Ovis aries: one gene and its partner. The protein of the gene in region 2 interacts with the protein of the main gene of each other region in a pairwise test. Links are inferred from orthologs where the notes say so. Each region holds a gene or a part of one and is shown on either strand. Other genes may lie near its edges. The genes, in order: PTPN21 and BMX.

Evidence for each region.
Region 1: the proteins of BMX (region 2) and PTPN21 interact in binary tests that used the Homo sapiens proteins (3 or more experiments, as listed by UniProt). The link is inferred for Ovis aries from reciprocal best matches to the Homo sapiens genes BMX and PTPN21.

What each region holds. Positions count from the first base shown.
Region 1 is NC_056060.1:98,303,862-98,308,324, reverse strand, and holds the start of PTPN21 (tyrosine-protein phosphatase non-receptor type 21), read left to right. Parts: upstream 1-1,619; 5' UTR 1,620-4,463.
Region 2 is NC_056080.1:13,717,434-13,721,247, reverse strand, and holds part of BMX (cytoplasmic tyrosine-protein kinase BMX), read right to left. Parts: intron 2,377-3,814; coding exon 2,219-2,376; intron 578-2,218; coding exon 503-577; 3' UTR 1-502. UniProt on the Homo sapiens protein: Non-receptor tyrosine kinase that plays central but diverse modulatory roles in various signaling processes involved in the regulation of actin reorganization, cell migration, cell proliferation and survival, cell adhesion, and apoptosis.

The DNA of each region.
Region 1 (4,463 bases), on a different chromosome or scaffold from region 2:
AGGAGGGACCATGAGTAAGTACTCAATAAGTGTCTGTTAACTGTTAAAGAAATGAGATCTAAACTAAATTTAACAGAAGAAAGCTTTCCAGGGGCTTTCCTGGTGGTCCAGTGGTTACGAATCTGTGCATCAGGGTTAGATCCCTGGCTGCGGGATCCCACACCCCTGCTTTGCAGATGGCTGCTGCAACTAGAAAAAAAGTCCACAGGCCGGAAGGAAGACAAAGCTTTCCAGAAACAAAGCTATTTTAAAAATAATTTACATTAAGTTTACATAACAGAAGGTTCTTTGCTCCAGTCACTCAAACCACTGGCCAAGTAAGAGCAAAACACCTATTGTTAAGGTTACTAGGACCACACAGTTTTATTCCTTGGCTTAAGTGTAGACCTGCAATAATGATAATGATGGTGACTGTAGTGTAATAGTACCATATAATAATAAAAGTTGCTCTTAGGGGTCAGAATGAAGCCCTTCATGTATGTTTTACACAAGTTGCTGGATAGTGATTATTTTCATTATTTCACAGGACATGAGCAGGCACAGAAAGGTTAAGAAATTTGCAAAAGGTCCTCCAGCTAGTTAGCTTGGCAGCTGAGATTCGAACCCAGACAACTGGACTCTGGAGTTCCCCGATCCTTAAAGCTCCACTTTGGACTGCATGAACATACAGCTCTGCTGAAGACCTAAAGGTTATTTGAGGCATATCAGTCTTTTTGGAGGCTTCCCTGCTGGCTCAGACTGTAAAGAATCTGCCTGCAGTGCGGGAAACCGGGGCGTAATCCCTGGGTTGGGAAGACCCCCTGGAGAAAGGCATGGCAATCCACTCCGCTATTCTTGCCTGGAGAACCCCATGGACAGAGGAGCCTGGTGGGCTACAGAACATGGGGTCGCAAGGAGTTGGACACGACTGAACGACTTTCACACACAATCTTTTTTAGGGGAAGGGGACTTTGCCACCCTGTATACCAGTCCTTCCCACCCTGTTATCAATCCTTTTTTTATGGAGTATGCCCTTAGACGAAAGCAACGGAGAAGAAAGAGACTATTTGAACTGTTTTCAGACATGTAGACGAGTAAACGAACAACTCCGGCAATAGTACCCTTTTACCGATCACCTAGTAACGCGGGAATAACACCCTTTACCTGGCACCGAAATGTTACCCCCTCCTCTCATTTTTGTTAAGGCCTCGCTTTATTTGGAAACTCTTAAAATAAGCGGTCATATGATTCAAACAAGCAGCGGCGCGCCCCCTCCCCGGCGGCCGGGCGCAGCTGTCCGCGCCTCCCCCGCCCGCATTCCAGCCCTCTGAGGTCACGGGCCGCCGCCGCCTCTCCGGATCCGCCCGCCCGCCCGGCCCGGGGGAGGGACGCCCGGGCCCGGCCGCCCTGCTGCTCCGGCCGCGCGTCCTCCGGCTGCCCGGCCCGCGCCGGGCCTCTGCGTGCGGCGCCGCCGGCCCCAGCTGCGGGCCTCCGCCCTCGGCGCGGGGGAATGCGCGGCGGGCCGGGGCCGGGGCGACAGGAAGCGAGGCGCGCGGGCCCCGTGAGCGCGCTGCGGCGGGGGCTGGAGTGCGGGCGCGGCTGCGGCGGCAGCGCGGCGGGGCCCCGCGGGGCGGGCCGCTGAGCGGGGCGCGCGGCCCCGAGGATGCGGCGGCGGGAGCAGGTGAGGGCGCGGGGCCCCGGCCCGCGGGGCGCGGGGCGCGGGGCGCGGGGGGGGGGGCGGCGGGGGCTGAGCGCGGGGCTGTGTCCGCCAGCCAACACCCCCGAGTCCGGGGAGGACGCGTCCCGGCTGCCCAGACCCGAGGCAGGGACGAGCGTAACAAAGAGAAAAAACTCTTCCAGGCTGTCTTCCACTTGAGGCATTTGCAGAGGGGTCTTGAACTTGTATTCGGAGCTCCTCGGTTGATTGTGAGCGGCTTAATTCTGCATCTGGGCTTTAAAAGTCTTAGGCATGTTTGTGCCTCTCGGCACAATATTAAGTGCGAGATTTGCCAGATAACTTTGGCGAGAAGGAGAGGAACGAAGGACTGTTTCGTGGTGATGGCTTGTTTTGGTTTTGGAGTAAAGAGTGTTTACTCTGGAAAAAAGAATTCTTGGGTCTGCAAATTCCGACTTGTGATTTCTGCAAATCCTGATTAGACTGGCCGCTTTTGGCATGCCCGTCTTATTTTCTTTTTTGCTGAGAAAGCCTTATAATAGCGTATGCTCGCAAACCGGTTCATAATAACTCCGCGTGCGCCAGGTGACAACCGCTGTATGCCTAAGGGTTGCTGATAGATTTTCCTTTTTTCTAACTTTGGGATATGATAGGAATTTTATTCTGAAAGTAGTTGTCTGTTGTTTCCAGCACATTTTATTCTCGAGTTCTACGCATAAATGTGTTCACGACAAATATGCGTTGGATTTAATGCTATATATCTATTCATTATTCTAAGAATACAATTTTAGAGATTATTTTATTTGAAAGCATCATTAATAAAATTACACGTAATGAGGACTGTAGCAACAAAGCGGAAAACTACAGGATTCAGACTTTAAAAGTGTATTTGAGAAGCTTCTGAGAGGGGATGTAAAAACATTAAAATGATACTTGAACATAATTAATATATACCTATTTTTTAAATTTCAAAATAAAGTGATTTTGTAGAGAAACAAAATATCTTAGTATATTTTCCTGCAAAAGCTAATTATGAATGTCTGTTTAGTAATCAGTTAAGACTTCCAGACCCAGCTACCTTTCAAATTATTTCATATTATTTTACACCTGAAACAGACACCCCCCCAAAGCATCTTCAAATTCTACTCTATTCAAACATTCATAACTTTATGACAATATTTGGTAGCAAATACTGTACATAACTGAAAATTGTGTAAATTGTTTCACACACACATACCCTTCAACTTTTTCAATTACTTTTTATAACATCTACCAAAATAAAAAAGAGAAAACGTTGGCTTGTCTATATCCTTGATGCAGTAAAACATTTCAAACTCAGGGACAGCAAAGTTTTACTCTGCTTCATCAGAGCTTAAATTGATAATTAAGTTATATAATGTAATATCTACTGCCTTCAGGGCGTAATTCATATTTGCAGTGAAGAGAATACCATGTTTGAACATCCCTAATACAAATTTTCATCTTTCCTCTGTACAACTTAACTGTTGTTTCCAGTTACCATAATTTGTATGTAAAATTTAAATTCATTACCTTATCTCTTGATAGGGTATTTAGCATATCTATCTATAAGGGTATCTATAATCTTTTAAAATGTACTCATGCATGGCTCATAGGCACTTTTCTAGTTGAAAGGTTATTATTTCAAGTTCTCACTTACGGATTTTATTTTTCATTTTGTCTCAACGAGCTATTTGGTTTATACCCTGACACACACAAGAGCACTGAAAACTGCAGGTAGAGCCCATGTCTTTTCATAATGTCTATTTTCTATTCCCTTCTTTAGTAAGGTGCTTTTACCTTCCAGAGGTACACGGCAAATGCTGTTAAATTAACACAGTGGCTTATGCACTTCTAGTTTTCTTTTTTCTTCTGGCCTTTTCCCTCTATTCCCTGTTTTTAACTTTTATTTTTCTGGCTCTCTGTGGATAACCAGAGCTCAAACAAACAAAACCCGAACCCAGACAACAAAAGCAGAAAGTCGTGGTTGGGTCCTTATTAGAGATACAGCCATGTATGTAATTATAGCTTGCTTGTAATCTACTTAAGAGCAAGGATGGCTTAGGAATTGATTCCTTTTAGACTTTCTGTAGGGCTTCCCTCGGAGAAGGCAATGGCACCCCACTCCAGTACTCTTGCCTGGAAAATCCAATGGACGGAGGAGCTTGGTGGGCTGCAGTCCATGGGGTCGCGAAGAGTCGGATACGACTGAGCGACTTCACTTTCACTTTCCTGCATTGGAGAAGGACATGGCAGCCCACTCCAGTGTTCTTGCCTGGAGAATCCCAGGGACGGGGTCGCACAGAGTCGGACACGAGTGAAGCGACTTGGCAGCAGCAGCAGCAGGCCTTCCCTGGTGGCTCAGCTGGTAAAGAATCCGCCTGCAGTGCGGGAGACCTGCGTTCAGTCCCTGGGAGAAGGAAACGGCCACCCGCTCCAGCACTGTGGCCTGGAGAATCCATGTACAGTCCATGGGGTCGCAAAGAGTCGGACACGACTGACAGTCTTTCACTACACGTCTCCACAAGGCCCACTGGGGGGCTTCCCCGGTGGCGCTAGAGGTAAAGAACCCCTGACTAAAGCAGGCAGACCTAAGAGACGGGGTCGATCCCTGGGTCGGGAAGATTCCCCTGGAGAAGGAATGGCAGCCCACTCCAGTATTCTTGCCCGGAGCATCCCTTGGACAGAGGAGCCTGGTGGGCTACAGTGCCTGGGGTGGCAGGGTCCAACAGGACTGCAGCGACTTAGCACACACGCCTAAAGGCCCTCTCCACAGCCTTGTCCTCAGAGA
Region 2 (3,814 bases):
CTGGGGTAGTTCCTAATGAATCTGTGTTTTCATAAACTCTCCAGTTGATTCTCATGCATGCTAAAGACTGAAACCATTGAGACATGAAGGCAGGTGTCACCATTTCTATACTTGTTAATAGCATATTTAATTATCATGATAGTGGTGATATTAAGAAAAACAACAAATATCCAAAAACTAATTTTTCATTTCTGCTCAATCTTTACACATAATATACATCCTCTCTATTTTGCAGTCAGAAAATGTGCTTCTGCTATAGGCTGGGAGGTGTAATACTAAGAGAAGCATAAACAAAATCACTAACTTGACCTAAATATCAAGGAAATCTTTTGTTTCCTACCTTGTTTTTTTCTAGATAATAGAACAGATAAAACAGCACACAGAATACCGTTAAGCAAAACTAGCTAAATTACAACATCTGTGCTAGGCTACTTTCCTTAAAAAGAATGAAAATGTTGGTCAACATTTATACTCATTCTCATCAGATCTTCTCACTTCTTCTTCAAGGCTTGTCTTTTTCCCGAAGTGGTTCAATGGATGATAGGAGCTGCTGAAATGTGGGACGCTTTTCTGGAAGCTAGATAAAAGAAAAATCCAATGGTTTAATTTATGAGGGTTCCGATTTAAAATAAACTATGTAAAATATTTATACTTCAGTCCTAAAACTAGCAATTCTTAAAATGTGGAAATGCTATAGACATTTCTTCTAAAGAGAAAACAAATAGAACCCTAAGAATTGGGAAAGAAAAATAAGAGTATCTTTATTTGCATAAGATACGACTGCATACCTTGAAAAACCAAGAGAATTAATGATAGAACAAACCCAAATAACAAAGGAATTCATCAGGAGAGCAGCATATAAAATTAACTGACAAAATCTATAGTCTTCCTGCTGCTGCTGCTGCTACTGCTGGTAAGTCACTTCAGTCGTGTCCGACTCTGTGCGACCCCATAGACGGCAGCCCACCAGGCTCTGCCGTCCCTGGGATTCTCCAGGCAAGAACACTGGATAGTCTCCATATATATACACACACAATAACCAATTAGAAGATATACTGGAAGAGAAAACTCCATTTACAATAGCAACAAACCCCAATAAAATACTAAAAAAAAGTACCCCCAAAATGAGGAAAACTTTAAAATGCTGCTGAAAAACACAAGTGTAGAATTGAGCACATAGAAAATAACATTGGTTGTCTTTGAATAGGACACATCAATAACATAGAGATGATGAATCTCCCAAGTTAGAATACAAACTCTTCCAAATATGAACAAGCTTGTTTTAAGCTGAACAAATTGATTATCTAGTTTGTGGATTTTAAATATGCAAAATAGCTAAGAAAACTATTCAGAAAGAGCCAGACACAACTTAGCAACTAAACCGGCACCAAGAGAAAAGGAAGCAGGTGTGACTTACAGGTGTCTGTTTCTGAGTGGGAAAATAAAATTATGACTACAAAAAGTGGTAAAGAGTTTTGTGGAAAGTGGACGCTGGGAAAAGAGTTTTGTGCACGGTCAAGACTGACTAAGTTTAAAATAAAATTTAACTGTAAGTGAATTTAAAAGTAAGCTGAGCTTCTTAGGTGGTGCAGTGGTAAAGAATCCTGCCAATACAGGAGACGCAGAAGACATGGTTCGATCCCTGAGTGGAGAGGATTCCCTGGAGAAGGAAATGGTCACCCACTCCAGTATTCTTGCCTGGAAAATTCCATGGACAGAAAGGAGCCTGGCGGGCCACAGTCCATGGGTTCACAAAGAGTCGGACATGACAGAGCAAGTAAGAAGAGCATAACCACAACTAAGACTCGACAGAGCCATAAAGAAATATGAACAAAATTGTTGGCACCTATAGTGCTGGCTTCAGCAGGGGCCCAGGGCCATCGTCACCTGCTCTGTAGCAAGTGTGCGCATGCTCAGTCGCTTCAGTCCTGTCCGACCCCATGGACTGCAGCCCGCCAGGCTCCTCTGTCCATGGGATTCTCCAGGCAAGAATACTGGAGTGGGTTGCCATTTCCTTCTCCAGGGGAATCTTCCAGATTCAAGGACTGAACCACATCTCCTGTGTCTCCTGTACTGCGGCCAACTCTTCACCACTGAGCCACTCGGAAAGCCCCTGGAGCAAGTGCCTGCGCTCAGAAGCGCTCCTTCGGGCGGTGACCCAACAAGCCGCCGGGTGCGCCGCGCCGCTGCCCGCCCCGCCCCGTCGTGGGGCACTCGCCTCGTGCCAGCAGCTGTACATGATGTGGTAGACGGTGTCCGACGCCAGCTGGGGCCGGTAGAGCCGGTGGCCCTGGGAGACCTTCACGACCACCTGCGAGTTGTCGTACAAGTCGTAGGGCTGCTTCCCCAGGCTGAACACTTCCCACATCAGGATCCCTGCCCCGCGACGAGGGCGGCCAGCCGACAGAGGAAAGAGAGCCCACGTCAGAATGTACAGTTTGTCACGTGAGCTTCACGCGTCAGCAAGGCTCTGGGTCAGAGCCTGGGTCCCTGGGGGATGAGTCCCAGCAAGAAGGGCGGGTTAGGGAGGACAGACTGGGCTAGCCCTTCTGGAGCCCCAGCTCTCTTATTCCTGCTCCCTGAGGCCCCGACGCCCATTCTTGCTGGGAAACGGGGAGGCGGCCTGGGTCGCTGCAGGGGGAGGTCCCTGGGGCCAGGGCCCCTGGGCTGCTTCAGAGAGGCGGCGGCCCCGTCGAAGCCACAGGGACAGCCCCAGCTTCAACCCTTCGAGCGAGGCGCGGAAGTCCCCGCCCTTTCTCTCTGCCTTGGCAATAATTTCCTGGCACTCACACATTACCTTTGGGTGGAAATTTAAGATAAGGTCATGGACAACTTTCCGGCTTTTCTATTGCCTCAGTCCTCTGGAAGGTGGTTCTCCACCTTCTTGGCACCAGGGACCCATTTCGTGGAAGATAATTTTTCCCCGGGACCGGAGGGGGCAGGATGGTTTTGGGATGTTTCAAACGTGTTACATTTATCATGCACTTTATTTCTAAGCTAATGTTGCCACTGATCTGACAGGAGGCACCGGGTCTCTGCCCTAGAGGTTGGGGACCTGTGTTCTAAAATACTTTGTGGGTCAGGTGTCCTTTTGAGAATCTGCTTAAAACCATTGGCTTCCCCTCAAGACAGTGAATGCACAGAATTTTCTGACTCATTTTCTGGAAGTTCACAGAGTGTTTTCTGGAAGTATCCAGAGTATGGCAGACTCCAGATTAAGGAACTGAGCTCTGGTCATGGTGGGCAAGAGGGTGGCGTCTGGGGCCAGTCAGACATGGCTTTTGAGGCACAGGTTTGCCACTTACAAGGTGGGCAAGCTTCTTTGCCCTTCTCAGTTCTGCTTTCCCGTCTGTAATATGTGGATATTTGCATGTCACAAAGTTGTCATGAGGATTGAACAGGATGAAACACTGGGAGCACTTAAAGGACACTGGGGACATTTTAAGCTCTCTAAATGGTGGCCATTGTGCTGTCATACTAGCCATGCCAGAGAATTCCAGCAGTCAGCCAACCTCAAAAGCTTTAGAAAAACAGACATATGTAAGCGGGGAGAAAATTGTTCTAGAACCATAACTGAAGTACTAACTTCAAAACTTTGACTTTTAGGGCTACAGATTTTATGTAAAATATTTATAGTCAGGCATTATTACAATTTGTGGAGACTGTGTGTGTGTGTTTTAAACATTCTAAAAGAACCATCCAAAAATTTGTTGACTCCTTCACAACTCTCTCCTTTGAAGCGGGTCCACTTATCTCATGAATAATATCATTGCTTAAAATGTCTGGGGCTCCTCTTTGATAATTGCTTTCAGAG